Saccharomyces cerevisiae S288C: one gene and its partners. Changing the gene in region 3 together with the main gene of any one other region gives a genetic interaction. Each region holds a gene or a part of one and is shown on either strand. Other genes may lie near its edges.

The links.
Region 1: mutations in SST2 (region 3) and TEX1 together harm fitness more than expected from each alone (negative genetic interaction), as found in Saccharomyces cerevisiae (2 studies listed by BioGRID).
Region 2: mutations in SST2 (region 3) and BCK2 are lethal when combined (synthetic lethality), as found in Saccharomyces cerevisiae (2 studies listed by BioGRID, with this or other methods).
Region 4: of SST2 (region 3) and STE2, a mutation in one rescues a mutant of the other (synthetic rescue), as found in Saccharomyces cerevisiae (3 studies listed by BioGRID).

Annotation. Positions count from the first base shown.
Region 1 is NC_001146.8:166,431-173,973, forward strand, and holds TEX1 (Tex1p), read left to right. Parts: upstream 1-3,587; coding exon 3,588-4,856; downstream 4,857-7,543. Other genes in the region: trifunctional dihydropteroate synthetase/dihydrohydroxymethylpterin pyrophosphokinase/dihydroneopterin aldolase FOL1, read left to right, coding at 1-667; mRNA-binding translational activator GIS2, read right to left, coding at 899-1,360; RTC4 (Rtc4p), read right to left, coding at 1,613-2,818; mitochondrial 54S ribosomal protein mL46 MRPL17, read right to left, coding at 5,011-5,856; Nrd1 complex RNA-binding subunit, read right to left, coding at 6,158-7,543. UniProt on the Saccharomyces cerevisiae protein: Component of the TREX complex, which operates in coupling transcription elongation to mRNA export.
Region 2 is NC_001137.3:512,340-521,350, forward strand, and holds BCK2 (Bck2p), read left to right. Parts: upstream 1-5,876; coding exon 5,877-8,432; downstream 8,433-9,011. Other genes in the region: aminophospholipid-translocating P4-type ATPase DNF1, read left to right, coding at 405-5,120; CCA1 (tRNA adenylyltransferase), read right to left, coding at 8,690-9,011. UniProt on the Saccharomyces cerevisiae protein: Dosage dependent suppressor of PKC1 deletion and MPK1 deletion. Involved in cell lysis.
Region 3 is NC_001144.5:1,036,406-1,043,082, reverse strand, and holds SST2 (GTPase-activating protein SST2), read left to right. Parts: upstream 1-1,716; coding exon 1,717-3,813; downstream 3,814-6,677. Other genes in the region: RIF2 (Rif2p), read left to right, coding at 97-1,284; leucine-responsive transcriptional regulator LEU3, read right to left, coding at 4,330-6,677. UniProt on the Saccharomyces cerevisiae protein: Desensitization to alpha-factor pheromone. Is involved in regulating the signaling pathway for responding to mating pheromone.
Region 4 is NC_001138.5:78,449-86,022, forward strand, and holds STE2 (alpha-factor pheromone receptor STE2), read left to right. Parts: upstream 1-4,131; coding exon 4,132-5,427; downstream 5,428-7,574. Other genes in the region: cyclin-dependent protein kinase-activating kinase CAK1, read right to left, coding at 1-713; putative ATP-binding cassette family ATPase CAF16, read right to left, coding at 896-1,765; GTPase-activating protein GYP8, read right to left, coding at 1,971-3,464; BST1 (Bst1p), read right to left, coding at 5,697-7,574. UniProt on the Saccharomyces cerevisiae protein: Fungal class D1 G-protein-coupled receptor that acts as an alpha-factor pheromone receptor performing pheromone-dependent signal transduction involved in cellular conjugation, mating projection assembly, and in cell fusion.

The DNA of each region.
Region 1 (7,543 bases), on a different chromosome or scaffold from region 3:
TAAAGAAGCGATTAAAGTTGGAGTGGATATTATTAATGATATTTCGGGAGGTTTATTTGACAGCAACATGTTTGCCGTAATTGCAGAGAACCCAGAAATTTGTTATATTTTATCACACACACGTGGTGATATTTCAACGATGAATAGGCTGGCGCATTACGAAAATTTTGCATTGGGTGATTCTATTCAGCAAGAATTTGTTCATAATACCGACATTCAGCAGCTAGACGACTTGAAAGACAAAACAGTGTTAATCAGGAATGTTGGTCAAGAAATTGGCGAAAGGTATATCAAAGCGATTGATAATGGAGTAAAGCGCTGGCAAATTCTAATCGACCCTGGACTTGGTTTTGCTAAGACCTGGAAGCAAAACTTACAAATTATTAGACATATCCCCATTTTAAAGAACTACTCATTCACCATGAACTCAAACAATTCGCAAGTGTATGTTAACCTCAGAAATATGCCCGTTTTATTGGGTCCATCGCGCAAAAAATTCATTGGACATATCACAAAAGATGTGGATGCGAAGCAAAGAGACTTTGCTACTGGAGCGGTGGTAGCGTCGTGTATTGGTTTCGGCAGCGACATGGTTAGGGTCCATGACGTTAAAAATTGTTCGAAGAGCATTAAATTAGCAGATGCTATTTATAAAGGTTTGGAATAAAGGTTAGTTATATAGATTAAATATGTAATTCTGTTTTGTAATAATTTTTTTTCCTGTTTCATAATAAAGAATCGTTAAAAATAACCAAGGGAGGAAACAAGTGAAATGAAGTATAGAAAAGATATAGAAAATAAACTTAAATATTCAGTTTACTTGTGCTTCTTTTTTCCCCTCTATGAAATATAGCATGATAAGTGATTGTTCCTTTGTTTTTTTCAGTGGATGTTTCACCTAAGCCTTTGGACAATCCTTGGAAATATGGCCAGTTTCGTTACAGTTGTAACAAAGCCTGTCATTTTGACAGTCCCTGGACATGTGGCCAGCTTGACCACAAGTGTAACATTTCAATCCACTAATTCCGTCCTCTTTCATACAGTCCTTAGCCATATGGTTTGGACCACCACATTTATAACATGAAACTTTGGAGAATCTGCTGGTCTTCTTTGGTTCAGGGCATTCTCTGGAGATGTGGCCGGTTTGGTTACAGTTGAAACAACGTTGCACAGTACATTCACTTCTAACGTGACCGGTTTCACCACAATTGTAACATTGCTTGAATTCAACTGTTCTTGGCATGGTACAATCCGTTTGAACGTGACCGGGTTTGTTACAGTTGTAACATAGTCTTTCAGAATCACAGTCTTCTGCCAAATGGCCAATCTTACCGCAAACGTAACAAGCTTTTTGAGACATCTTTTTCGTATTCTTTTCTTTTTTCCTGATTTCTGAAGGGAAAGCCTTAAAATAATACAATCCTCAAGTGCCCCCAAAGCAGAAAGAGCATTTCTAATCCATCGATGACCTTATTACAACTCTTGCCAAAAGAGAAAAGGAACGAAAAGAAAATTTTTTCAGCATTTCGTCTATCATGACACCACAGCAGTTCTTACTATAAAGCTCAAATCCCTAAGCCATAAAGGCAACAAACGGCAATATACTACCTGTTTAATCGTGCGTATCCAGTCGCCATCTCCTGCTGGAATAGTTATGAACATCGAGTTTCAGTTCCCGCAGACGGTCTTCCTCTATGGCAGCTTCCCATTGCTCAATTGGATCAGAGTCGGCTACTATGATACCGTATTCAACTGTATCCTCGAGTAAGTCATAGGCTAGCATCCTTAATTCGGGATCGTAGTAATATTCCTTCTCGTTTAATTGTTGCTTTGGATGTTTATTCGGTGTCTTCGACGAGCAAGATTTATTCGAGAGATTTAATTGGTAAATACAAAAAGACGTAAGGGTTTCTGGAGCCAAAACGTAGTTACAGAAATCTGTTATCCCCCACCATTTTAAGGTTGCGGGCTGATTGTGCGTGAGTGCCCTTTTATATCTCTTAGCGATTTCTTCGCCAACCCTCAATTGCCTTTTCAGGCCGTAAAATCCAGCAGTAAATTTGTTTAAATTCAACTTTCTAAACTCATCTACGGACAAGTAAGCCTTTTGTGAGTTTTTGAATGCATTTTTTGCTTCAAAATAGTATACAGACGATATCTTTCCCTCCAATATGTCCATTACAATGGGCATGAAGGGTTCTACTTCAGTGAGTAGCTCATCCGAAAACAACATGGGTGGTAGTTTGAACTTGCTCATGTATTCTTCCCTTACTTGAAGTTTTTTGATTATCTGCTCTTTAGAACTCAAACAACTTTGTAACGATAGCTTTTTATCCTCGGGAAATGAAGAGGAGAAGATTTGGTTATCTTCAACTGCCGATAGTTCTGCCTCCAAGAGTAATTTTTTACCGTCTAAAAGATTATTGTTCCTGCATTTGATAGACTCGATATCTTCATTTTTCAAATTCTGTATTAGTGGGATAGAAACGACCTTCTCTTCTTCTTTTTCTTTTCCTCTGAGTGCTGCATTCTTTGCGGCTTGTACTTCTGAATTTGGAAATGACCTCGAAAGTTTATCAAATGTGGCCACAGTGGAAAGCTTTTTTACTTCAATCTCATCTTCTGTGATACTGTCTATTTTGCCGCGCTTTTTTGAGGGGGAAAAGGCATCATGGCCTGATAAGTCGTCACTTTCTCTATCATGTATGTCATGTTTTCCTTGTCTTTTCATTAACAGTAAGTTATCACCACTTCCCTTTTTTGTGGAATAAACACCTTTTCTCCTCACTCGATTAATTCCCAGACCAGGCCCAACCATCTCTGTCTACGCAGGTCAAAAATTTGTGCTAAGGTCTCGAGAGCACATACAGTACCCTTTTAATGTGATCTCATCGCTACATTTTTCAAAGCTTCCCATTTTAGCGACGCCATCTATATATAGGAAAAAAAAAAAGTTTAGGACGCTATTTACCACAACAATTGAGATGCAGCACAAATAGGAGTATCATTGCCTCCCAATTTTCAAGGGAGTTTTCAGAGAATTACTATTCCATACCTATTCAATTACTGGAGTTGTCTTCAGTATCATAAAGGGTTTTGGATTTTCAATCGAATTGCCATTTTTTTCCTGCTTACGTTCGATAGATAGCCAAATGCAGTTTATATATATGTATGTAGACTTGAAGGTATATTAACAGTGCCCATGTTTCTTTGGAAAGTGTCAAATATCGCAAAGCATAACCTTGAAGGTTAACATTATTTTCTAGAAATACACCTTTCCCACTGGATATGATGACGGAAGAAACAAAACGTTAAATTATTGTACCGTTGTATAAAACAGTAACCGAGCATGGACAATTCATTTTTACACCCCAACGACGCCACTAACCATGTATAGGTGTCTTGCCTAACTTATCATTATTCATAGTAGAATTAAGAAAATTAAAAGCCTTGCACCACAGGTTACGTACATAAGATATTATGTTAAATATATATCTCTTCAGTATTTCTACGTACAAAGCTTCACTCATTGAGGTTTGATTGGTGTACAGCTACATACATAAAAAGGATCAAGTGAACTATTCGGCATGTCGACAATTGGAGCTGTTGATATTCTTAATCAAAAGACCATAACTTCTGAAGTGGCTGCCTCAGTGACTTCAAAATATCTACAAAGTACGTTTTCTAAAGGTAATACAAGTCATATCGAAGATAAAAGGTTCATTCATGTCAGTTCGCGTTCTCATTCAAGATTCACCTCGACTCCCATAACTCCAAATGAAATTCTTTCCCTAAAATTTCACGTATCAGGTTCATCGATGGCGTATAGTAGAATGGATGGGTCATTGACCGTTTGGTTTATTAAAGATGCAAGTTTTGACAAATCTGTAGAAGTTTATATTCCAGACTGTTGTGGTTCCGATAAATTGGCTACTGATTTGTCCTGGAACCCTACTTCTTTAAATCAAATAGCTGTCGTGAGCAATTCATCAGAGATATCCTTACTCTTAATCAACGAAAAATCGCTAACGGCATCCAAATTAAGGACCTTGTCATTGGGAAGCAAGACTAAGGTCAACACATGTCTTTATGATCCATTAGGAAACTGGTTATTAGCTGCCACCAAATCTGAGAAAATCTACTTGTTTGATGTGAAAAAGGATCACAGCTCTGTCTGTTCTTTGAACATCAGCGATATAAGCCAAGAGGATAATGACGTTGTGTATTCCTTAGCATGGAGCAATGGTGGAAGTCATATATTTATTGGCTTTAAGAGTGGTTATTTGGCCATTTTAAAAGCAAAACATGGCATATTGGAGGTTTGTACCAAAATTAAAGCACATACTGGTCCTATAACCGAGATCAAAATGGACCCATGGGGAAGAAACTTCATTACTGGGAGTATCGATGGGAATTGCTACGTATGGAATATGAAGTCACTATGTTGTGAATTAATAATTAACGATTTGAACTCTGCGGTAACAACACTAGACGTCTGTCATTTGGGTAAAATACTAGGAATTTGTACAGAAGATGAAATGGTATATTTCTATGATCTTAATAGTGGTAATTTACTCCACTCTAAATCTTTAGCCAATTACAAAACCGATCCCGTTTTGAAGTTTTATCCTGATAAATCATGGTATATCATGTCAGGCAAGAATGACACACTATCAAATCATTTTGTTAAAAACGAAAAAAATCTAATAACTTATTGGAAAGACATGTTCGATAACACGATGATTGAAAAACGTAGGAAAAACAACGGTGGAGGCAACAACCACAATAAAAGGACGAGTAAGAATACTGATAGGATTGGCAAGGATAGGCCGAGTAGATTCAACTCAAAAAAATAAGTTACCTGATGGAAGGAATGCGGTAGAAAATGCACATTCTTTTTCTTTCATTTAATGATATTTACATGTGATTGACGACAACCTAATATATAAATATATATGCACGCATATATTTTGTATATGTAACGTTAAAAACGCATCTGTTTTTGTGATTTCAATTATCCGCTAAAAGAAATTCTGTTTTGTTAAAGTAATCTTTTGGTACATATTCACTGATCTCACCTTTTGTCAGCCAAGCAAAATCCTCGAATGCATCATTTTTCGACGCCACCAAATCAAATTTTCCAGCCAAAATGTGTGACTTCACAATAAACTCAGCAGTCCTATTTCTCTCGTCCTGCAAAACACCTATGGGCGTAGCAGAAACAGACCAAGTGTATATCTGATCACCGCTCAACAATTTCAATTCGTTCTCTGCGTGTACGTGTAACGGCTTAGATTCATCAGAAAGATCGAAGTTAGGGAATTTCCAAGTACCGCTTTTATCCTTAACCAAAAGATATAAGGTCCTGCTCAATTGTCTTTCAAGGCTCTTCATATCATTTGACCTATCTGCTTCCGTTATCCTGTCGTTGGGAATCACGGGCCTATTAACATCGTCTTTGCTTTGCTCTTTTTGATTGTTGCTAAATGCTACTGTACTGTCATCAGAAAGTTTAACTTCTTGCTTAGTACTTCTTTCTCTGCCATGTTTAATGTCCGGTATGCCTCTAGGAAACCAAATGCCATTTTTTTTGGAGATAGGTCCTTTCTGCAGGGATAGAAATTTGTGTTCTGCTACAGTACCCTTTTTGAAATAAAAATATGCCGGAAACGTCCACATTAGTCTCTTTTCTAGTTCTGATTGGTACTCATAGTATTTTTTCTCTAGTTCATTTAATTCTGATTTAATTATAGGGATTCTTGACAGTAGTACTCCGACTTTAATCTTGGGGGGAGCGGAACTGGCAGTTGCAGTTGCAGTAGCAAGCCCTCTTTTCAACATTAAATTTACCTTCATGGTACTGGATAAGCGCTTATGATTACGTAGAATATAAAGTTTATTGATTGTTTAACTGTTTTCTTTCCTTTTTTTTTTTTCATTTTCATTTTCATCTAAACCTTGAAAAAAAACCAGGAATACGGTAAAAAAAGAGAATAAAGAATAGGATAATGCTACATTTGAAACACAGTAGTTATGTGAATACATAAGGATGTCCATTTAACAAAAAAAAAAAAGGAACATAGGAAAAAACAGAAATTATATATAGAGGTAGATTAGTTTTATGTACTATGAGCAAATAAAGGGTGGAGTAAAGATCTTAGCTTTGTTGTTGTTGCTGCTGCTGTTGGTTAAGCATATTCATCAAAGAATTCAATTGAGCAGTGGGGTCAAATTGTTGCTGAGGTACAGGGGGAGCCGCTGCGGCAGGTCCCTGAGAAGGTAATGGTTGGTTGGGGGCATAACCATACGGTTGCTGCATCATAGGTTGCACATATTGCTGTGGTGGAGGAGATGCCAATGGTGCATTGCCGTAGGGTACTGGAGATATCGACGATATGCTACCAGATTTGTTAGGTTTACCAGAACGTGGCCCATTTCTGCCAGAATCAGTAGGCATCTTTTGAGATATTGCCTTGGAAGAAACACCTTCACCAACGATAATATCCGGTTCTTCGAAAACAATACCGGTAACGAGAGGTTGACCAGAAGTGCCACCCCATTGCGCACTTACTGACCATTTTTTATCAGCGTCCGTGAGCCTGTGCATAGGAATAATACTGTAACCGTGTTGATAGTCACAACAATCTCTTGGACCAAAACCAACTCCCCACCTAGTTCTCAATGGCAGGGCTCCATCTTTATTGAAGTTTTGCAAAACATTTTCGGCCTCATGTCTTGAATAAACTTTCACAAAAGCGTGTTTTCTGGAGTTATTCAGAATGACGCTTTGTACTTCAGCAAAAGGTTTTAAAACGTTAGCAAGGTCCCATTCCTTCATGTTTAGTGGTACCCCACCGATGAAAAGAGTACGGCTGTAGACTTTAATATGATCTGGTGGCAATGTAGAGTCGTAACTTACTGGTTTTGGTCTATAATGAGGATTATTGGAAACATTAAGCTCATCGGGGTATAAGTGGTGATTGTTTGTGCCAAATGTCGTATTGGGGGCGCCTATGCTGTATTGGTCCTGGGCCACAGATGGATAGCGGTCCTTCCTGCCTGTCGATGGCTGAGAAAATGGTGCCGGAGGAGATCTTGATCTATTCCTTCTTGAGTTATATCTTTCTCTTTCACGTTCACGTTCACGTCTGCTACCATATTCGGTAATTGTATGGGCTTGGGGAGGTGCGACTGTACCCACGGATGTATGTGAAGGCAAAGTTTTAAAATGTTTCTGCAGAGCCGCTATTACTTGGAAAAGAGCTGCTTGCTGTTTGGCTGGATCTGTGGAAGTCAAATCAGTTGGAAGACTTATGTTCAAGTTTAAAGGAGGACTTTTCTTTAGATTTGACAAGATTTGTTTCGACCTCTGCTTGGGATCCAGTGATAGTTGTTGTGAAGCGGTGTTCGCGGTGTTATTCGATATGTCCATAGCAAAGCATTTTGACCTGATGGCGTTCAAGTAACTCTTTTGAAACAAGCCGGACCTGTCCCAAATGTCTAAAAGCATACGAATTTTTTCCTTGTGGTCTTGATTACTTTT
Region 2 (9,011 bases), on a different chromosome or scaffold from region 3:
AACGGCAGAATGTTAGTTTTCGCGGAAAATAAACAAAATAGCACGGAAAAAAGACCAACAGGTTCCAGGAAAATACTAATTTACAAAAAATTGACAAATCAAGTGAGGGTACCTTGCTATTCATCACCGCATTCAACTAACTGGAGGTACAAAGCTGATAAAATTTCACAGAGCAAAGTCTCACTTAGCTTTTACTTTATGAAATTTGACCTTTAATAACCGAAGGTCATCGTAATACGCAACTCAGACAGTTTTAAGTGGATTTTTAGGGTCGCAATTAAAAACACTCAAAAATTAACCGGAGGTTGAGCAAGGGAAAGCAACCGTAACAGAAATCCTTTATTTCCTCCTGGAAGTGAAATAAAAACGCAGTTAACTTTAAAAAGGAAAGTTAGTTGATAATTATGTCTGGAACTTTTCATGGCGATGGGCATGCTCCCATGTCGCCCTTTGAAGATACATTTCAATTTGAAGATAATAGCAGTAATGAAGATACACATATTGCACCTACCCATTTTGATGATGGTGCAACAAGCAACAAATACAGCCGGCCACAGGTCAGCTTCAATGATGAAACACCCAAAAATAAACGTGAAGATGCAGAAGAATTCACATTTAACGATGACACAGAATATGACAATCATTCCTTTCAGCCAACACCGAAACTTAATAATGGATCTGGGACGTTTGATGATGTGGAATTAGACAATGATAGTGGTGAACCGCACACTAACTACGATGGTATGAAAAGATTCCGGATGGGTACAAAAAGGAATAAAAAAGGAAACCCAATAATGGGAAGATCTAAGACCTTGAAATGGGCTAGGAAGAACATTCCAAACCCATTTGAAGACTTTACGAAGGATGATATTGACCCTGGTGCCATAAATCGTGCGCAAGAACTAAGGACTGTGTATTACAATATGCCCTTACCAAAAGATATGATAGATGAAGAAGGCAACCCCATTATGCAGTATCCTCGTAATAAAATCAGAACTACCAAATATACCCCGTTAACATTCTTACCAAAAAACATTCTATTTCAGTTTCATAATTTCGCCAACGTTTATTTCTTAGTTTTAATAATTTTAGGTGCATTTCAAATTTTTGGTGTCACGAACCCTGGTTTAAGTGCGGTTCCGTTAGTTGTCATTGTTATAATCACTGCGATCAAGGATGCTATTGAAGACTCAAGAAGAACCGTCCTAGATTTAGAGGTGAATAATACCAAGACACATATTTTAGAAGGTGTTGAGAACGAAAATGTCTCAACCGATAATATTTCATTGTGGAGAAGGTTTAAGAAAGCAAACTCTAGACTCCTTTTCAAGTTTATACAATATTGTAAAGAACATTTAACTGAAGAGGGCAAAAAGAAGAGAATGCAGAGAAAGCGTCATGAACTAAGAGTACAAAAAACTGTTGGAACGAGTGGACCCAGATCCTCTCTAGACTCCATTGACAGTTACAGAGTATCTGCAGATTATGGCCGTCCTTCATTGGATTATGATAATTTGGAACAAGGGGCCGGTGAAGCCAATATAGTTGATAGATCCCTACCACCCAGAACTGATTGTAAATTTGCCAAGAATTATTGGAAAGGTGTCAAGGTTGGTGATATTGTTCGTATCCATAACAATGATGAAATCCCTGCTGACATTATCTTACTTTCAACGTCGGATACAGATGGTGCCTGCTACGTAGAAACTAAAAATTTGGATGGTGAAACAAACTTAAAGGTACGCCAATCCTTGAAGTGTACCAATACTATAAGAACGTCAAAAGATATTGCTAGAACAAAATTCTGGATCGAAAGTGAAGGGCCCCACTCAAATTTGTACACTTATCAAGGTAATATGAAATGGAGAAATCTTGCAGATGGCGAGATACGAAATGAGCCAATTACTATTAATAACGTTCTGCTTCGTGGTTGCACTCTTAGAAATACTAAGTGGGCAATGGGTGTTGTAATGTTTACCGGTGGTGACACAAAAATCATGTTAAACTCTGGCATTACACCCACCAAGAAGTCCAGGATTTCAAGAGAACTAAACTTCTCTGTGGTGATAAATTTCGTGCTACTTTTCATCTTATGTTTTGTTTCTGGTATTGCAAATGGTGTATATTACGACAAAAAAGGCAGATCACGGTTTTCCTATGAATTTGGAACAATTGCTGGGTCAGCGGCGACAAACGGTTTCGTCTCATTTTGGGTTGCTGTTATTCTTTACCAATCTTTAGTCCCAATCTCTTTGTACATTTCTGTGGAGATCATCAAAACTGCACAAGCGGCCTTCATTTACGGAGACGTTTTACTCTACAATGCCAAATTGGATTATCCTTGTACACCAAAATCCTGGAATATTTCTGACGATTTAGGTCAAGTGGAATATATATTTTCTGATAAAACAGGTACATTAACTCAAAATGTAATGGAGTTTAAAAAATGTACTATCAATGGTGTTTCATATGGAAGAGCTTACACCGAAGCGTTAGCGGGATTAAGAAAAAGACAAGGTATCGACGTCGAAACCGAAGGTAGGCGTGAGAAGGCCGAAATTGCCAAGGATAGGGATACAATGATCGATGAACTGAGAGCTTTATCAGGAAATTCACAATTTTATCCCGAAGAAGTTACCTTTGTATCAAAGGAGTTCGTTCGCGATTTGAAAGGGGCTAGTGGTGAAGTACAACAAAGATGCTGTGAGCACTTTATGTTAGCATTAGCTTTATGTCACTCCGTCCTTGTAGAAGCAAACCCGGACAATCCAAAAAAACTGGATTTAAAAGCTCAATCTCCAGACGAAGCAGCGTTAGTAGCCACAGCTAGAGATGTAGGATTCAGTTTTGTTGGAAAAACCAAAAAAGGGTTGATAATTGAAATGCAAGGTATTCAAAAAGAATTTGAGATTCTAAATATTTTGGAGTTTAATTCATCGAGAAAAAGAATGTCCTGTATTGTCAAAATTCCGGGTCTGAACCCAGGGGACGAGCCTAGAGCACTTTTAATTTGTAAAGGTGCAGATTCCATTATATACTCAAGATTAAGTCGCCAGAGTGGTAGCAATAGTGAAGCTATTTTGGAAAAAACTGCTTTGCATTTAGAGCAGTACGCTACTGAAGGTTTAAGAACGTTATGCATAGCTCAAAGGGAGTTAAGTTGGTCTGAATACGAAAAATGGAACGAAAAGTACGATATTGCTGCTGCATCATTAGCAAACAGAGAGGATGAATTAGAAGTTGTTGCAGATTCCATTGAACGCGAATTGATATTATTGGGCGGTACAGCTATCGAAGATCGTTTACAAGATGGTGTTCCGGATTGTATAGAGTTGCTTGCAGAGGCAGGAATTAAATTATGGGTTCTTACGGGTGATAAAGTTGAAACAGCTATAAACATTGGATTTTCTTGCAACCTTTTGAATAATGAAATGGAATTGTTAGTTATTAAAACAACTGGTGATGACGTGAAAGAATTCGGATCAGAACCAAGTGAAATTGTGGATGCTTTACTCTCCAAATACTTGAAGGAGTATTTCAACTTAACCGGTTCAGAAGAAGAGATTTTTGAAGCTAAAAAGGATCACGAATTTCCGAAGGGTAATTACGCCATCGTTATCGATGGTGATGCTTTGAAATTGGCGCTATATGGTGAAGATATAAGAAGAAAGTTTCTTTTACTCTGCAAGAATTGTAGAGCTGTCTTATGCTGTAGAGTATCTCCATCTCAAAAAGCAGCCGTTGTTAAGTTAGTCAAGGATTCTCTAGATGTCATGACACTAGCCATCGGCGATGGTTCCAACGACGTCGCCATGATTCAATCTGCGGATGTTGGTATTGGTATTGCCGGTGAAGAAGGTCGACAAGCTGTTATGTGCTCAGACTACGCCATTGGACAATTCAGATATTTGGCTAGATTGGTCCTCGTTCACGGTAGGTGGTCTTATAAGAGACTGGCAGAAATGATTCCTGAGTTTTTTTACAAAAACATGATTTTTGCTTTGGCATTGTTCTGGTATGGTATCTATAATGATTTTGATGGGTCTTACCTGTATGAATACACATACATGATGTTCTATAATTTGGCATTTACATCCCTACCAGTCATCTTCTTAGGTATTCTGGACCAGGACGTGAATGACACAATATCATTAGTGGTCCCTCAGTTATACCGTGTTGGAATTTTAAGGAAAGAATGGAACCAAAGAAAGTTCTTATGGTATATGTTGGACGGATTATATCAGTCTATTATCTGTTTTTTTTTCCCTTACTTGGTTTATCACAAAAATATGATAGTTACGAGCAATGGGTTAGGATTGGATCATCGTTATTTTGTCGGTGTTTATGTGACCACTATTGCTGTAATTTCGTGTAACACATATGTTTTATTACACCAATATAGATGGGATTGGTTTAGTGGATTATTCATTGCACTGTCTTGCCTCGTAGTTTTTGCATGGACGGGAATATGGTCTTCTGCGATAGCTAGTAGAGAATTTTTCAAAGCTGCAGCGCGTATCTATGGAGCACCTTCATTTTGGGCTGTTTTCTTTGTTGCCGTGCTGTTCTGCTTACTGCCCCGTTTCACATATGACAGTTTTCAAAAATTTTTCTACCCAACTGATGTGGAAATAGTAAGAGAGATGTGGCAACATGGCCATTTCGATCATTATCCTCCTGGTTACGATCCAACAGATCCCAACAGACCCAAGGTCACAAAAGCTGGGCAACACGGAGAGAAGATTATAGAAGGCATAGCACTTTCCGACAACTTAGGAGGATCGAACTATTCAAGGGATAGTGTTGTCACAGAGGAGATTCCAATGACTTTCATGCACGGTGAAGATGGAAGTCCTAGCGGATATCAGAAGCAAGAAACCTGGATGACTTCACCCAAGGAAACACAAGATCTTCTTCAATCGCCCCAATTTCAGCAGGCCCAAACGTTCGGAAGAGGCCCATCAACCAACGTCAGGTCATCCTTGGACCGCACAAGAGAACAGATGATCGCCACTAACCAACTAGATAACCGCTACTCTGTGGAAAGAGCGAGAACATCTCTAGATCTACCAGGCGTAACTAACGCAGCCTCCTTAATCGGAACACAACAGAACAATTAATAATGATATCCGAACCATAGCTGATGGAACTCCGCTTTTCACTGTATATATAATATTACATAATATTACTGGATAAGCCTTAGAAGCCTTAGAAGCCTTAGAAGCCTTGGAATTCATGCATACTACAGCGTTAACTCTTTCTTTTAGCAAGTTTTAGTAGCGGACGTGTGGGTTTCTTTGTTCTATAATTAACACTCCCGGTTAACCCGGATCGCTATTATTCAAGGACGCACAATGGTGGGCTAATTTTTTCTTCCGATGGAAAACTGACGCCAGCACTTTCCAGCGCTGGGAACTCTCCACTAACTGGCAAAAAAATTGATTAAGGTCATGATCAAAGGAATTTTTGAAATGTTGTAAAGTAGAGTTAAGAATTAATCAAGCCGTGATACGTATGTTTTTGACTAGGTGAGAGACTATATTTATCAAAAATAGTTTTTTATACTAACAGAAAGTTTATTATATCATAGAAATCCTAGGCCTATTGTTATTATTTGCGTGAAAAAAGGTTCATGCCTAGTTATTCAGGATATTAATCAGGCATAGTCATAGTTTTGTAATACACGTCTTTCACTCCTATTTCCGGTTAACATTCGCTAATATCCATCAAATTATTGACTTTTTTTTCAGTGGATTTGTTGTTAATAAAGGAAACAATCAGATCAGCCATTTAGGGAAGTCTTTTAAGAAAGCTCAGAAGGAGATCTAAGACAAGAAGCAAGGCAGTCTTGATTTATCGCTCAAAACCAATAGCACATGCCGAAGAATAGTCACCACCATCGTTCCAGTTCGGTTAATTCCACAAAGAGTCGTTCTACGGAATCTACGAATAAATGGAAAATTCCGCACTATTATCGCAGATCCGCTAGCGGCAGCACACAAGCTTCGCCGGACAGGAACTCCTCAACAGGCTCATGTAGCACTCCAGTATTACCTACTATGAATGTTATGTCTAGCCCGAAAAAAGTTTTGCTAGAGGATCCCAGAGACAACCATACTAAGGCGAAGAAGAGTAGTAGAAAGAAATCAGGTGAAATGGTCTTCGTCAATTATACTGTACAGGACACGGCTAACGAAAATGATACTGACTTGCAAACCCAGCCGGTTTCTGTGCCAGCACCAAAGGCGAAATTAAAGAAGAAATCCTCCAAAAGGAGAATGCTGAAGATATTTGGATCGTCAAAGAACGAACACATAGAGGACATCGTTGAAGAGCAACCAATGGTGCTTCAAATGGATTCAGAATCTAAACCCCTTTCGGGAACCCCTATCTCAGAAAGCGGAATCGACGCCTCGTCACTAACAACCAAAAGATCTTATAACTCGTTCTTAAAACACAATAGGCTAAACGGTAAAACTCCGTTCTCTGGAAACTTGTCCTTTCCATCATTAAACATGATGGGTAACACTACTGATCTGCCTATTGACAATAACGATTTTTGTTCCGAGAAAGAAGTCGTTCCGAAATCAACTCATGATCCTTCACTAGCAAAACCGCCATCAAGGTTCACTGAAAGCGAAACAAATTCTACTCCCAACTTATCAAGTATACCTCTCATGAACACAAAAAATACAAGATTGAAGTACAATAAAGTGGCGCCTCAGAGTTCAGACCGACAAAAGTCACAGGAAAGTGGGCTATATCATTCTACCGAATCATTCAACTTCAAAGATCAAAACTACAGTAACAATAAATCCTCTTTAAGTCTGAACTCCGATTTAAGTACACCCCACTTTGCAAAGCATTCACCTGATTCACCAAGAACTTCAAGATCTTTCAACTGCGGAGACTCACAAAGTAAAGTTAAATTACCGGAAGAAAATGACGCTTCTATTGCATTTAGTAAGATGTTTACTAGAAAACGAGCCAACACTGGCGGGTCCACGTGTTCGCTAGCCTCACCCACTATTGCACAAACTATTCAGCAATCAAATATAAAAGTTAATAAATTGCCAACTCAGCGAACCACTTCAGTTGGCTCATTATCATCCATGTCAAATCGTTATTCACCAATAAGAGTTGCATCGCCAGGAAGAGCAAGATCCGCAACTCGTGGGTCTTCCCTTTATAGATTATCCAGAGACCTTAATTCTTTACCAAGCGTCACTGATCTACCAGAAATGGATAGTACAACCCCAGTTAACGAAATATTCTTGGATGGCCAACCACAGCATAAAAGTGGCAGTGTCAAAGGAGGGCATAGGAAGAAACAAGAATCTATCTCTGATGCTCAAAGAATTCAACATTCTAATTCGTACATTACAACACCTTCATCTTCTCTGGTGACTCCTCCTTACTACATGACAGGTTACACATTACCAAGTTCTGCATCTGCTTCTTCAACTCCAAATGTGCTTGAAACACACAATATGAACTTTGTTCCAAGTACCAGTACTGTTACAAGTTATCGCCCATCTAGCAATTTTTCCTCATTTGACAAAGAATACAGTAACGAAAACGACGCTAGTGGGGAATTCTCTGCTTTCAATACTCCAATGGAGAATATACCGGCACTAAAAGGTATACCTAGATCCACGTTAGAAGAAAATGAAGAAGAGGATGTCCTAGTACAAGATATTCCGAATACGGCACACTTCCAAAGAAGGGATATTATGGGGATGGATACTCACAGAAAGGATGACAGTTTAGATTTTAACTCTTTGATGCCACACGGTAGTACAACTAGTAGCAGCATCGTAGATTCTGTTATGACGAACTCAATATCCACTACAACAAGCAACGCGACCGGAAACTACTTTCAAGATCAAGATAAGTATACATTGGTAAATACGGGATTGGGATTGAGTGATGCAAACCTCGATCATTTTATTAGATCTCAATGGAAACACGCTTCTCGATCAGAATCCAATAATAATACCGGAAATCGCGTTTCTTACAGTGGCTCAACACCAAACAATGTTGATACAACAAAGACTAATTTGCAAGTGTATACCGAGTTCGATTTTGAAAACCCAGAGTCGTTTTTCCATGAGCAATCGAAGCTACTAGGTGAGATGGGCCACAGCAATAACAACAGCAACAGCGCCATCAACATGAATGAACCCAAGTCTGCGGATACATACATTGGAAATATATCTCCGGATACTTCAGCAACTGTTTCATTAGGCGACCTGATGGGCTCAAACGTTTCAAACAACAGTGAAAGAAATTTTTACGATGGTCATACTTTCGTTCCACAGTATCAGGCGAACTCATCTGTGGAAAACTCAAATAATCAAAATGCAGCACCAATTGCAAATAACGACATTGATAATAATTTACAGTCTTTTTATTTTGATAATAGCAACTAAAAAAGGAATGAAAAAAAAAAAAAAAAGTTCAAAAATAGTAACAGATATCTTTCGAAAAAGTTAAAAACTGGTAAAAAATTTTGAATAGAGTATATAAAAACTAATAAATATGTTTAGTTATCATACACCATAGAATAACTACTAGAGATATTATTTCATTTTCGTTTTCATTTTTTTTATTTTTTTCTTTTCAATAAGGTAACAGAAAGTTATTTATGCATTCTTGTTCTACATGTCTTATGTATACTAATAAGCTACTACAGGTATTTTGGTAGTATGGCTTTTAAATGAGTTATTAATTCTTGATCAGTCCCTGTAGGATTATCAAACTGCCACCTAATCGCTTCGTTATTAATTTTACCCAGCCATGGACCTGGCTTCATTTGAAGTAGTTTTGCCATTTGTTTTCCGTCCACTATTGGTTTTAGTTCATGACAATTATTCAAATTATTGTCAAATATGTAAGAATAAAATTCATTGTAATTTTGGAAAAGTAATTCAATTTTTTTAGTTTCAAGCTTGGGAATCTTTAAAAATGCATCTGATAGAGATGCAAAATGTGCTGTTTCCCATTCGCCA
Region 3 (6,677 bases):
ACAGAAGGGATCTTCTTAACCATCAATTTCAATAAGTTAGAACAATATATGTACGAATATAGATATAAATACGAACGTGGTTAGTATATAGAGACAATGGAGCATGTAGATTCCGATTTTGCACCTATAAGGAGATCGAAAAAGGTTGTTGACAGTGACAAGATTGTGAAAGCAATAAGCGATGATTTGGAGCAAAAAAATTTTACTGTACTGAGAAAGTTGAACCTTGTTCCAATTAAAAAAAGTGTTAGCAGCCCAAAGGTGTGTAAGCCGAGTCCAGTTAAGGAGCGAGTGGACCATGTTTTCTACCAGAAGTTCAAATCAATGGCCTTGCAAGAGCTAGGCACCAATTATTTGTCAATAAGCTACGTTCCGAGCTTAAGTAAGTTTCTTTCAAAAAATCTTAGGAGTATGAAAAATTGTATCGTTTTCTTCGACAAAGTTGAACATATACACCAATATGCTGGTATCGACCGTGCAGTTTCAGAAACACTGTCTTTAGTCGATATAAATGTCGTAATTATAGAAATGAATGACTACTTAATGAAAGAGGGTATTCAATCAAGCAAATCAAAAGAATGTATCGAGTCAATGGGGCAGGCTTCATATAGCGGACAACTAGATTTCGAAGCTAGTGAAAAACCTTCAAATCACACGTCTGACCTAATGATGATGGTTATGAGGAAAATAAATAATGACGAAAGTATCGATCATATTGTCTACTTCAAATTCGAACAATTAGATAAATTATCTACTTCAACTATAATAGAACCTTCGAAGCTTACCGAATTTATCAATGTTTTATCGGTACTTGAAAAAAGTAATAACATTGCATTTAAGGTCCTCATTTATTCAAATAACGTTAGCATTTCGTCTCTCCTATCGACATCCCTCAAAAAGAAACTCAACACAAAATATACTGTGTTTGAGATGCCGATATTAACATGCGCTCAAGAACAAGAATATTTGAAAAAAATGATAAAGTTTACCTTTGATTCCGGAAGCAAGTTATTACAGTCTTACAACTCGCTTGTCACATGCCAGTTGAATAATAAAGAATCCAACTTAGCAATCTTTTTCGAATTTTTGAAGGTCTTTCCGCACCCTTTTACCTATTTGTTTAACGCTTACACTGAGATTATAGTCCAGAGTAGAACTTTTGATGAATTGTTGGATAAGATCAGAAACAGACTGACAATAAAAAATTACCCACATAGTGCTTATAACTTTAAGAAAAACCAGCGTCTTCCACTTAAGTTAACTCGAAAAGTACATGATAGATAAATTACCAAGGTCTTTTGAAAGAGTTCGAACAATACAAAGAGATGGCAACTCCTTTGGAAAAGTTCAAGTTGAACCACCTCCGTTGTCTCTATTAATGAAGAAGCCATGAAGTATGCGAAGTTTTAACTGAATCATCTTCAATAATTATGGGATGTCTGGGTTTTAAACGTTTCATAATATTCAATTTTGAAACAATGATCCCAATACTGCTTTTTTTTTGACTAGGACTTGGATTTGGTTGCTGGTGCGTTAGAATTGTTGTCTGTCCTGTTATATTTATACCGGTGAATGAAATCATAATCCCAGCTCTGTCTTTACTTCTCATCGTCCTTTAACTTTGGAGGTGTTACTGTCGTACGTTCCTTCTAGGTTTTGCACGCACTATCTGAGGCGTTATAGGTTCAATTTGGTAATTAAAGATAGAGTTGTAAGATGGTGGATAAAAATAGGACGTTGCATGAATTATCTTCCAAAAATTTCAGCAGAACGCCGAATGGACTGATCTTTACCAATGATTTAAAGACAGTATATTCCATTTTTCTAATTTGTTTGGATTTGAAAGAGAAAAAACATAGTAGTGACACTAAGTCTTTCTTATTAACTGCATTCACTAAACATTTCCACTTCACTTTTACATATCAGGAAGCTATTAAAGCAATGGGACAATTGGAACTAAAAGTGGATATGAACACAACTTGTATTAACGTTTCATATAATATTAAACCTAGTTTGGCGCGCCACCTTCTTACATTATTTATGTCTTCTAAGCTACTACATACACCGCAGGACAGAACTCGTGGCGAGCCAAAAGAGAAAGTTCTTTTCCAACCAACACCTAAGGGAGTTGCTGTTTTACAAAAGTATGTTAGAGATATTGGGTTGAAAACAATGCCTGATATTCTTTTGTCATCGTTTAACTCCATGAAACTTTTCACTTTTGAGAGAAGCTCTGTCACGGATTCAATCATCCATAGTGATTATTTGATCCATATTCTTTTCATTAAAATGATGGGCGCTAAGCCAAATGTTTGGTCTCCAACAAACGCAGATGACCCATTACCTTGCCTATCTTCGTTGTTGGAATACACTAATAATGATGATACATTTACTTTTGAGAAATCTAAGCCAGAACAAGGATGGCAAGCTCAGATTGGAAACATCGATATAAATGACTTAGAAAGGGTATCGCCATTAGCTCATCGATTCTTTACAAATCCAGATTCTGAGTCGCACACGCAATACTACGTTTCGAATGCAGGTATTAGGTTGTTTGAAAATAAGACGTTTGGCACTTCCAAAAAAATCGTGATTAAGTACACCTTTACAACAAAGGCTATATGGCAGTGGATAATGGACTGTACTGATATTATGCATGTTAAAGAAGCGGTCTCGTTGGCAGCGTTATTTTTAAAAACGGGGTTGATTGTACCAGTTCTTTTACAACCATCACGCACTGACAAGAAAAAGTTTCAAATTAGCAGGTCCTCTTTTTTTACCTTGTCCAAGCGTGGTTGGGATTTGGTTTCTTGGACAGGTTGTAAGAGCAATAATATTAGAGCACCAAATGGTAGCACCATAGACCTAGATTTCACATTAAGGGGTCATATGACTGTTCGTGATGAAAAAAAGACATTGGATGATAGTGAAGGTTTTTCTCAAGACATGCTTATCTCTTCGAGTAATTTAAATAAACTGGACTATGTGCTAACTGATCCAGGTATGAGATATTTATTCAGGCGCCATTTAGAAAAGGAACTTTGTGTAGAAAATTTGGATGTCTTCATTGAGATTAAGAGGTTTTTGAAGAAAATGACAATTCTGAAAAAATTGATAGATTCTAAGCATTGTGATAAAAAATCTAATACCAGTACTTCAAAAAACAATATCGTAAAAACGATTGATTCAGCTTTAATGAAACAGGCCAATGAGTGCCTTGAAATGGCATATCACATTTATTCGTCCTATATCATGATAGGATCACCATATCAATTAAATATCCATCATAACTTGCGTCAGAATATTTCTGACATCATGTTGCACCCTCATTCTCCATTATCGGAACACTTTCCTACTAATCTATACGATCCATCACCTGCATCCGCGGAATCAGCAGCTTCATCAATTAGCTCAACGGAGGCTGACACGTTAGGTGAACCACCTGAAGTGAGTCTAAAACCTTCAAAAAATCTTTCAAATGAAAACTGTTCATTTAAGAAGCAAGGATTCAAACATCAGTTAAAGGAATATAAACCTGCCCCGTTAACTCTGGCAGAAACGCATTCGCCTAATGCATCAGTAGAAAATTCACATACAATTGTTCGTTATGGCATGGACAACACCCAAAATGATACCAAATCGGTTGAATCATTTCCAGCAACTTTGAAGGTCCTCAGGAAATTATATCCCCTCTTCGAGATCGTTAGCAATGAAATGTATAGACTGATGAATAACGATTCCTTTCAAAAATTTACCCAGTCAGACGTATACAAAGATGCTAGCGCTTTAATAGAAATCCAAGAAAAGTGCTAATTTCATTGAGAGTCTTACTCATCTTCAGGTACAATTGCACAAACAGTCCTTTTTTTTTTCTTTAGTTCTCCTAACCTAATATGTCTTGATACCCATAAGGACTGTAAATACTATTACGTATAAATTAAGCGGAGGTGTGATTTGTTATATCAACTATAATATGATTAAATAAAGCCATTTATTATCTAGTATAATTTCCAATCCTGAGATGTGACTAACGTGAGCGCTTACGAATCTTCGCATCATACACCTGTGGCCAAGGCTGGTTGGCGGTTTAAGTCCGTCTGAAAACTTTTTTTTACGTCATTTGAAGATCAAAAGTATTGAACATATACCTAATGACACAGTTTTTTACACTTTTTTTGAGTTAAATTATTCAAGGACAAAAAATAGTGTGCGTAAATGGAAGAAATATAAACGTATATAGAAAATCATTTACCTCTCCTGTAGCACCGCAGTCATTACATAACATTTTTTCGAGGGTAAGTAAACATTACGCAAAAAAAGAAAAGGACTTTAAACCTTGGGATTGAACGCAAATTCATTCATTAAAATATCAACATCCCTCCAAACCATATCAGATTCCCAGTTATCCCAACCTGCCATGATGGAATTGGGTGATTCTTTGATTGTAGTTGTAACGGGGTTTGATTGAACAATGGGATACGTTTCTAATAGAGAAGAGTTGGCTTGTGTCGCAGGTAGTGTGTTTTCTTGCATTTGTGTTATTGAAAGAGGCGGTTGATTTGCCGGATGTTCAGCATTCCTCCCTATTGGCAGAGGTTCATTGACAGCTTCAGTGTCCTTGATGTCTGTAGAAACACTGGAATCTAAATTTGCATGATTCAGTTGTTCCCTAGGTGACATTTTATTGAGGATTCCTCTATATGATATAGTGTTCGCTACTTGACTATTTGGGGTCGTTAATGAGCTTCCACTGCTGGTAGAGCCTGCATTTATTGGATTTGGGTCTAGCGGAATTGTTTCAATTATTTTTCTTGCTTTCTTTTCTGGATGCCTTACATTGGTGAATTTCCTTGTCCTTAGTTGCTGGCTATCCATATTTTCTGGAACTTTACTACTTAGTTCTTCTTCTTCTTCTTCTTCTTCTCCCTCCTCATCTTCATCTTCCTCTTCCTCTTCATCAACATTGTAAGCTGTAGAAACCTTGGTCTCTCTCTCCAATTTGGCCATACCACATTTCTCTTTTAGAATATATAAGCAGTCAAAAAAAACGTTTACTGACATCCTAGATTTTATGGTGATGCCTAAATTGAAATCATTATTTAGTCTACCTCCACCTTCCTTTTGGTCGTTTTTCCAGGCATCATACATATTAGCAAATAAACTCCATATGCTTCGCATTATTCCGGATGATCTGTACGCCATATCATATTTTAAAACTGAGGCATTAAACGTCAATGAAATTGCGTTGTTATAAGCTTTTTTGCCTGAGTTAACATCTAGCATTGAATGAAGTGATGAATGTATGAGTTTACTAATAATACAGGCAGATTGCCATATATTCAAGACAAACAAACCAGGAAAGTACTTAATAATGGTAGGATCATGTTCCCACATACTATTGGCATGTATAAGAAAGTTTACGGCGGCATTATAAACTTTCACCAATCCACGTTTCGTTTCAAAACTTGTATCGAGTTCCATAATGGAATATGATCCCTCATAAATATTACCATTTGATTTTCCAGCACTTTGGGAGGTAACATCAGTGAAGTAATAGGTTAATAAGTGAACCTTGGCCACTAGTAATAAAAATTTTCGGATATCATCTAGGTTATTTTCTTCAAGACTAATCTCCAATTGACTTAGTTGTTGATTAAGAACGTGTAACAAGGGCTGCTTCTCTTCCTGACTTACCATCCCAGTAACACTCGCCGGGGTGGAGTTCATTGTGTTTACGATTTGGTTCTCAAATCTAGCAATTTGAGCCATTTGTCTTAGTTCATTGGGTATATCTACTTGGCTTTTTGAATTTGGTACTCTAATAGAGCTGATTACTAAATAATCAAATGAAACATAAGCTGGGAAACCAAATGATGATGCAACTGTTTGAGATACAACATTGCAGCAAATCCAAGTTCGTATTTGCTCGTTAACTAATTCTGAATTTGCCGAAGCATACTCTTTTGAAAAACCTGCACAATTTAGTCCTACCCGAAGCGCTTGGAACATCGCTGTTCCTATGGTATTCCACGAAGTGTCGGCGCTTAATGAAGAGGTTAAGGGAGGCCAGAACGTGTATAAAAGAAATGCTTGCACGGAATATACAGATGCTACATTTAGAACGGGTTCGTCCTTATCTGATGGAGTATATCGAATTATTGGAGATATTGTGATTTCTGATAAAACTGACTTTACTAGCACTGATAATCGAGTCATTAAGTCTGTAGCCCCAAATTTCCGCCTTAAACCAATGAGCAGGATGACCCAGAATAAGCAAGGAGATAAGTGATAAATTCGCTCTGCTCCTTTCGAAAGGTCAACGACGGGTAAAAATTGATGATATTTTGTCGCAAATTCTTGAAACAGCTCAGCAATATCGCTGCTTGACAAATATACGTCGCCCAGGCTTTTTGGCAAGCACTTAAGTTGATCATCTGTCATAACGTTTGTTGAGTGAACAGGGTCGAAGTTTGTCGACGAGCTTAAGAGCGTTAAAGGAGAAGAATCCGTATGTCTTCTGTTGGTACTGTAAGAAATAGGTTCTCCTCGAAGTGTTTTGTATGATCTCGGTTCTATTTCTGTCGTCTCAAAAGCACTCTTCCTGAGTTGTTTTACTTTTTCTTTTGTGAAATTACTGTTATCCAAAACAATTTCCTGTTCCTCTTCAATTTTCTTCA
Region 4 (7,574 bases), on a different chromosome or scaffold from region 3:
AACCACTGAGAAATAATTATCAACAACGACCACACGTCCACGCCACCATCATAGCATTTTACTCCAAAAAGCACTTCTGGGGCCTTGTAAATTCCTGTGCTTATATCCGTCACCTTGCTATCCATGGGTTCCGCACTTGTTTGTGAGTTATTTGCCATGTCATAAGAGATGCCAAAATCAATTATGTACAACTTTGGGGATACGGTGCTGGTATTGTTTGTTAGCATGATATTTTGCGGTTTGATGTCGCGGTGAATGATCTTGTTCTCATGTAAGAATGCAATCCCTTCAACCATTTGCCGGAAAAAGGACAAAGAATACCGATTGACGTCCAATTGATTAGTATATTTCTGAACGGGGGGGTCCGCAACAATTGGGATACTGGGATTTAGCAAATCGTAATAGGGATTTTTTTTTCTTCTATCTCTTTTATAGTGCATTTGCATGAACTCATAAAGGTTCATCTCTTCAAAGGGAAACAACAACAATAGGTCATTATTATCGGTAGCCTTAGACTCTAGAAGAGGTAAGATGTGCTTACATTTGTTGCCCAGTTTGTTTAATATCGATACTTCGAATTTGGCGTTATGTGGCGGGATATCGAAATCTAGTGCTAGACATTTAATGGCATATGTATCCGACCTATAAATCCTAGCAGTTCTAGTAGATTTGACCAACTGACAGTGTGTAATGTCTATACTATCCAGTTTCATTAAGATGGGCGTGAATTTTGTTGCCTCTCTTCTTCATCTGGCCTCTTTGCTTCTATGAGACTTCTGTCGTTTTCCTTTTTTTAGGATCACAAACTACTTCTATAACTTAAATAGTCAAATCACATTTTCCACTAAGATACATATTTTCTATACAGGGGGTCTTTGCAGTTATATATACTCAGTTATATACCAATCTCTTTGTCAGGAATTTGATTATCACGTTTCAACCATTCTAGTGCTAATGGATGCAAACTATTCACTTTACTAATAACAACCTTATTGTTGTCATTTTCAAAGGCCACTTGTCCATTAACTTTAGCATTGACCACTTCAGAGAACTCTACGTCTTTCTGATAATCTAAATTATCCACAATCTTACCTGATTTCATATGGTATACTTGGTTAGGCCATTTGGCCAAGCCGTCAAAAATATGTGTAGCGTAGACCACTGAGCATCTTCTGGTTTCGGTCTCCCACTTTAAAAACTCCAGAAGTCTTGCTCTGGCAATAACATCGAGATCCACAGTGACCTCATCAAGTAGTAAAACTCTCCAAGGTTTCAAGAGCCCCATGGCTAACTGAACTCTTCTCTTTTGTCCATCACTTAACCTGTGCATTCTCCAACGTACATCGATGTCCAGGATTCTAACCAATCTTTCACCTCTTTCCCTAAAATGATCGAATCCAATACTTTTTAATAGTTCCAAGACGCCGATATCCCTATTAATGATACTCATATGGCACCATTCCGTACCTAGATAAGTGGTCGTTTGGTAGTTCGTCGAATCTTCAACACTTTCATCATCGTCCACTTGATTCATAGATAATGGACTGAATGGATCAAGACCATTGACCAGGATTTTTCCATCAAGGCAAAGATGCTTACCGCTTAGTAATTTCAAAAGGGTGGATTTACCAGCACCATTGGCACCCACAACTAAAGATCTTGTATTCCATGGGATTTGAAGATTGATATCAACAACTGACGGATCGGAGCTTTCTTTGAATTTGTACGTTAGGTTACGCACCTCAATAGCAAATTGGGAAACCATCTTGAGAGTTATCTAATATCTTGATATCTTATGCAGGAGTACTGGTTTTCTCCATACTAAAAATCTCTCTTTCAGAATTTTCGTTTTTTCTTATTTGAGTCATCCTCGAAGAAATTTCCGCAGCGAATTTTAAAGAAGCACTTTATAATAATACCTTACATATGAGTTTGTTTCTATGTCATGGGTATATAAGGTATATTGTATGCTATCTAGTTGGATGCCCCAGTTTCAAAATGTCCCTAATCGGATCCACCCAGATGTGACTAACGTGGTGCAAATTTATATTTATATGTGATAAGTCTTTCAACTTTGTGGAGATCATGTAACGTAGATTGAGTACTAAACTCAACGACCTTGTAGTCCGTAATTGGTACAGGATAGCTACAATCCCGATAAGTAAAGAAATTTTGCTCCACCTGTTATATTTGGAGGGTAAAAAATGGCCAAGTCTTTGGACCAACGCCCTTGTCTTGGATCTGGCGGCGACACCATGATACTTTTCTTCCTTGTAATGCTCGTTCATCTTTGTTTGTTCGCTCAAATAGAAGATAATGGTGCTCATATCGAAGCATCCTGGCTTTCCACATGCTGTATTGAGTAATGCACTATATTTATTAAGACTCACCCGTTTCAAAGCCTTCTTGCTGGCAGTAGTCGCATCTTTTCTAGTTATTTGCAAGACTTCTTCCCAAAGCGCCTCATCATACAGTTTTTTCTGTAAAACTGTTTGTATAGCACCATGGCGCAGGTCAAAATCGTTCTCGAAGAAATCAGAATTAGCTTCTATTTGCTTCGAAATTTCAGACGCATTTTGCAATAGCAGGTTCTTGTATATGATCAAAGGTAAACGCATAGATTGCATCGATATTGTCATGTCAAATATCTGGAAAAGAATTTTATGAAGATTGTTGTCACCGCTATCTATAGGTTTCAAATTATGTGCAAAGATTGTCAATATTGACCCAATAGCGAAAAGGGGCTCATTTTCGTCAAATTTGAATAGATTATAGAATTTCATGTTTGATTCCTTTATCAATGAAGAGATTACTCTCAATTGCTCAAATGAAAAATCTAGTGAGTTCATCATGAAATCCCTCAGATATAATAGGGTAAATGCTTCGATGCAATAAAACAGCCTTTCCATATCAATTTCTTCTTGCAATGAGAGATTTTCTAGTTCCAGTCCGTTCTCTTTTGTGACATTCCAACTAAAACACATGATGAAAACAGACACAATATCATGATAACCTTGGTAATAGTTCAACGTTGGGTACTTTCTCAATACCCGAGTAATTAACTCCACCAGTAGTTTTCTCAATTGCAGTTTCAAGTTTTTGTCGACAATTCCACCAAAAGACCTTTCTGCATCCAATATCACCTGACCTTCATCTTTATGTTTTTCCACTGGTGTAATGTACTCTGTTGCATCATCAATAAGCAACTGGGACGCCAATAATTCATACCAACAATCTTTTCTTAATGAGTTGTTTACAAACCCCAGAGGCCCTAAACCTATGTACCTCAAAGCTCGGACATCTTTTTTCTCTAATAACTTTGATATAACTTTTCCTTTTTGTTCTTCTGCCTTTCCACTGTCACAACGAGAAAGTGATTCCAGATATGCGTTATAACCTCCCCTTGTCAACGCGTCTTTGTCGTGGCTACTCTGATTAGTATGAAATAATGACCTTAATGGCATCGTATTTTGTTAATTGGCTTGTTCTATGTCATTTGCTAAATTTTCTCTTTATTTCTTTACTTTGCCAATTCAAGATAATCTTCCCTTCCCAGAGAGAAAAAAGGAAAAATTTAGCTATGAAACCTCAATAAGCTTTTTAATACACCAAAGATTCAAGATAAGAGCATAGAACGAACTGTAGAATAGTCCGGATATGTTATCCAATGCCTGCCAAAATGCATTGTCACACGCTGTAGTGCTCGAATAGGTGTTGCAATCCGTCAATATACGTCTTGCTCTGTGGGTAAATGTCTCGTGCATTAAGACAGGCTAGTATAAACGAGAAGAAGTATCCTGCTTTGCAATGAAACAATAGTATCCGCTAAGAATTTAAGCAGGCCAACGTCCATACTGCTTAGGACCTGTGCCTGGCAAGTCGCAGATTGAAGTTTTTTCAACCATGTAAATTTCCTAATTGGGTAAGTACATGATGAAACACATATGAAGAAAAAAGCTTTCCTACATATTCAAGATTTTTTTCTGTGGGTGGAATACTATTTAAGGAGTGCTATTAGTATCTTATTTGACTTCAAAGCAATACGATACCTTTTCTTTTCACCTGCTCTGGCTATAATTATAATTGGTTACTTAAAAATGCACCGTTAAGAACCATATCCAAGAATCAAAAATGTCTGATGCGGCTCCTTCATTGAGCAATCTATTTTATGATCCAACGTATAATCCTGGTCAAAGCACCATTAACTACACTTCCATATATGGGAATGGATCTACCATCACTTTCGATGAGTTGCAAGGTTTAGTTAACAGTACTGTTACTCAGGCCATTATGTTTGGTGTCAGATGTGGTGCAGCTGCTTTGACTTTGATTGTCATGTGGATGACATCGAGAAGCAGAAAAACGCCGATTTTCATTATCAACCAAGTTTCATTGTTTTTAATCATTTTGCATTCTGCACTCTATTTTAAATATTTACTGTCTAATTACTCTTCAGTGACTTACGCTCTCACCGGATTTCCTCAGTTCATCAGTAGAGGTGACGTTCATGTTTATGGTGCTACAAATATAATTCAAGTCCTTCTTGTGGCTTCTATTGAGACTTCACTGGTGTTTCAGATAAAAGTTATTTTCACAGGCGACAACTTCAAAAGGATAGGTTTGATGCTGACGTCGATATCTTTCACTTTAGGGATTGCTACAGTTACCATGTATTTTGTAAGCGCTGTTAAAGGTATGATTGTGACTTATAATGATGTTAGTGCCACCCAAGATAAATACTTCAATGCATCCACAATTTTACTTGCATCCTCAATAAACTTTATGTCATTTGTCCTGGTAGTTAAATTGATTTTAGCTATTAGATCAAGAAGATTCCTTGGTCTCAAGCAGTTCGATAGTTTCCATATTTTACTCATAATGTCATGTCAATCTTTGTTGGTTCCATCGATAATATTCATCCTCGCATACAGTTTGAAACCAAACCAGGGAACAGATGTCTTGACTACTGTTGCAACATTACTTGCTGTATTGTCTTTACCATTATCATCAATGTGGGCCACGGCTGCTAATAATGCATCCAAAACAAACACAATTACTTCAGACTTTACAACATCCACAGATAGGTTTTATCCAGGCACGCTGTCTAGCTTTCAAACTGATAGTATCAACAACGATGCTAAAAGCAGTCTCAGAAGTAGATTATATGACCTATATCCTAGAAGGAAGGAAACAACATCGGATAAACATTCGGAAAGAACTTTTGTTTCTGAGACTGCAGATGATATAGAGAAAAATCAGTTTTATCAGTTGCCCACACCTACGAGTTCAAAAAATACTAGGATAGGACCGTTTGCTGATGCAAGTTACAAAGAGGGAGAAGTTGAACCCGTCGACATGTACACTCCCGATACGGCAGCTGATGAGGAAGCCAGAAAGTTCTGGACTGAAGATAATAATAATTTATGATCAAAATTTACGGCTTTGAAAAAGTAATTTCGTGACCTTCGGTATAAGGTTACTACTAGATTCAGGTGCTCATCAGATGCACCACATTCTCTATAAAAAAAAATGGTATCTTTCTTATTTGATAATATTTAAACTCCTTTACATAATAAACATCTCGTAAGTAGTGGTAGAAACCACCTTTGCTTTTACGAGTTCAAGCTTTTTTCTTGCCATGATCTAGAACTCTCAGGCAATATATACAGTTAATCTTTTTTTACTGGGTTGTAGTTCTAATGTATTGTTTCGAAAAATAGCAACCAGGCACATATTATGTTCACCAAGTGGTGTATCCAGTACAGATTTCTTATTCCATAAATGAAACTGAAAACGGTTAAGTACACAAATAAAATGATGGTAACTTTACCATCCCACGTGTCTAAAGGTACGCTGTTTGGCATTTTGAAAATAGAATTATTTCCAACCAAAAAAATAATTGGTGCCACTGCTAGTATATTGTGATGGGATCTAAATGAAGTTTCCCATTTGATGGCAACATTATGCAGGAAAACAATAATGATAGGGATGTTAATGGCACTAACAAATAATAAAAGCAGAAGCAACGTCATATTATAATTTAGTAAGTTCAATTTCTGCTCGTTGTTTGATAGTTTCAACAGCGCTACTCTAATGCAGGTAGCAATTTGGATTACTAATGAGATAACAAACGCCATCTGGTATGGTATGTGAAAAAATACCAACAGTAATAAAAGCACAGATGCCATTAATCTTCCCTTACCATACGCTTTATGTTCAATAGTATCAAAAGCCTCTTTATCTTCAGTGTTTTTCTTTGATAACTTCCGTTGAAGGAATATTACTAAAATTTCCAAGGATCCAAAAATCTTAGAAACTAGTGCTAGTAATCCAACTGTCATAACCCCAAAGAGAATTCCAATAGTTGACATAAACCAATCTCTGATCCCCAAATAATAAAAATTTGCATGCATGTTTCTCTCGGATAGCAGAAATGGATAATTTAAACCGACAGGATCCAATAAATAAAGTATTCGTTGTACCAACTTATTATTAACCACAGGCGAAGCTAAGAACAGCGTAAAAAACATTAATATTCCGTGCTTTCTTAAAATATATCCCAAAGTGCTATCAAAGGAAGGAAACTCAGATGTCTTGTTGTACCAGTAGAACTGGTATGACAGTACGAGTGCTATAAACGCGACTGGAAAAGATGCTAGTGCTAATCTGTACCTGATAAACAGCATTTTCAAAGTTAAAGACCAATTAATAGTCATTTTAGCTTCTAAGGACATTCCGGGTGGAATAAAAAAACTTAATTGTAGCGATCTCGGTTCGCTTTCATTTAATGGGATAAACGGTGCTACATTATGCATATTTATATCGAGACTTTTGTTTATAATATTTAGATGCCATTTAGACTCGAAAGGTTCGTAAACCCATTGCCTTATGAAAGGCTGAAACAATGTCTCTTCGGAAGCAATACCTTCGTTGCTTGCCTCAATCTTGGTTTCTAATTTGTACGATAATAAAGAATCCCACAAATTACTGAAACTTATAACCTGCTCGATGTCTTTGCCATCCAAGTGTAGTTGTTCTCCAAAGAGCAATATTTGAGAAGGTGTAGTATTGACTATTTGTACATTGGAGACGTTGCGCAGTAATGCCAAAAGAAACCCCTGATTGTCCTCCATGCCTTCTTGTTCTGAAAATTCACCGTAAGTGGGTTTGCTTATCATCAAGTAGTCGTACTTCTGTAGTATATTCTTGCCAACACTAACGGCTTTAAACGGATTTTTTGCTTCTCCAAAAGAAGAATCAGCTGCGAACTGAGTATCTTTTGAAGACCTGGGCACTGTTAGAATACTATCAACAGCTGTTATACAGCTTAGATTCACCCTGGACTCTGTACAGAAATAGATCATAGGCATATCGAGACTAGTTAATAATGTGAAATGCAGGTGTTCAGTGGAGGAGATGTTACTCGGAATATTTATTTTTGTATAATTGTTGTGCCACTTTTCCAGGTTAAACATTTCAAAATCTAGGACATCGTTCATTTCCAAAGTAGCGTAATCAGAAAAGAAGTTGTCACTAAATTCTTGTAAGTTTTCTTGAGGATAATTTAACTTACT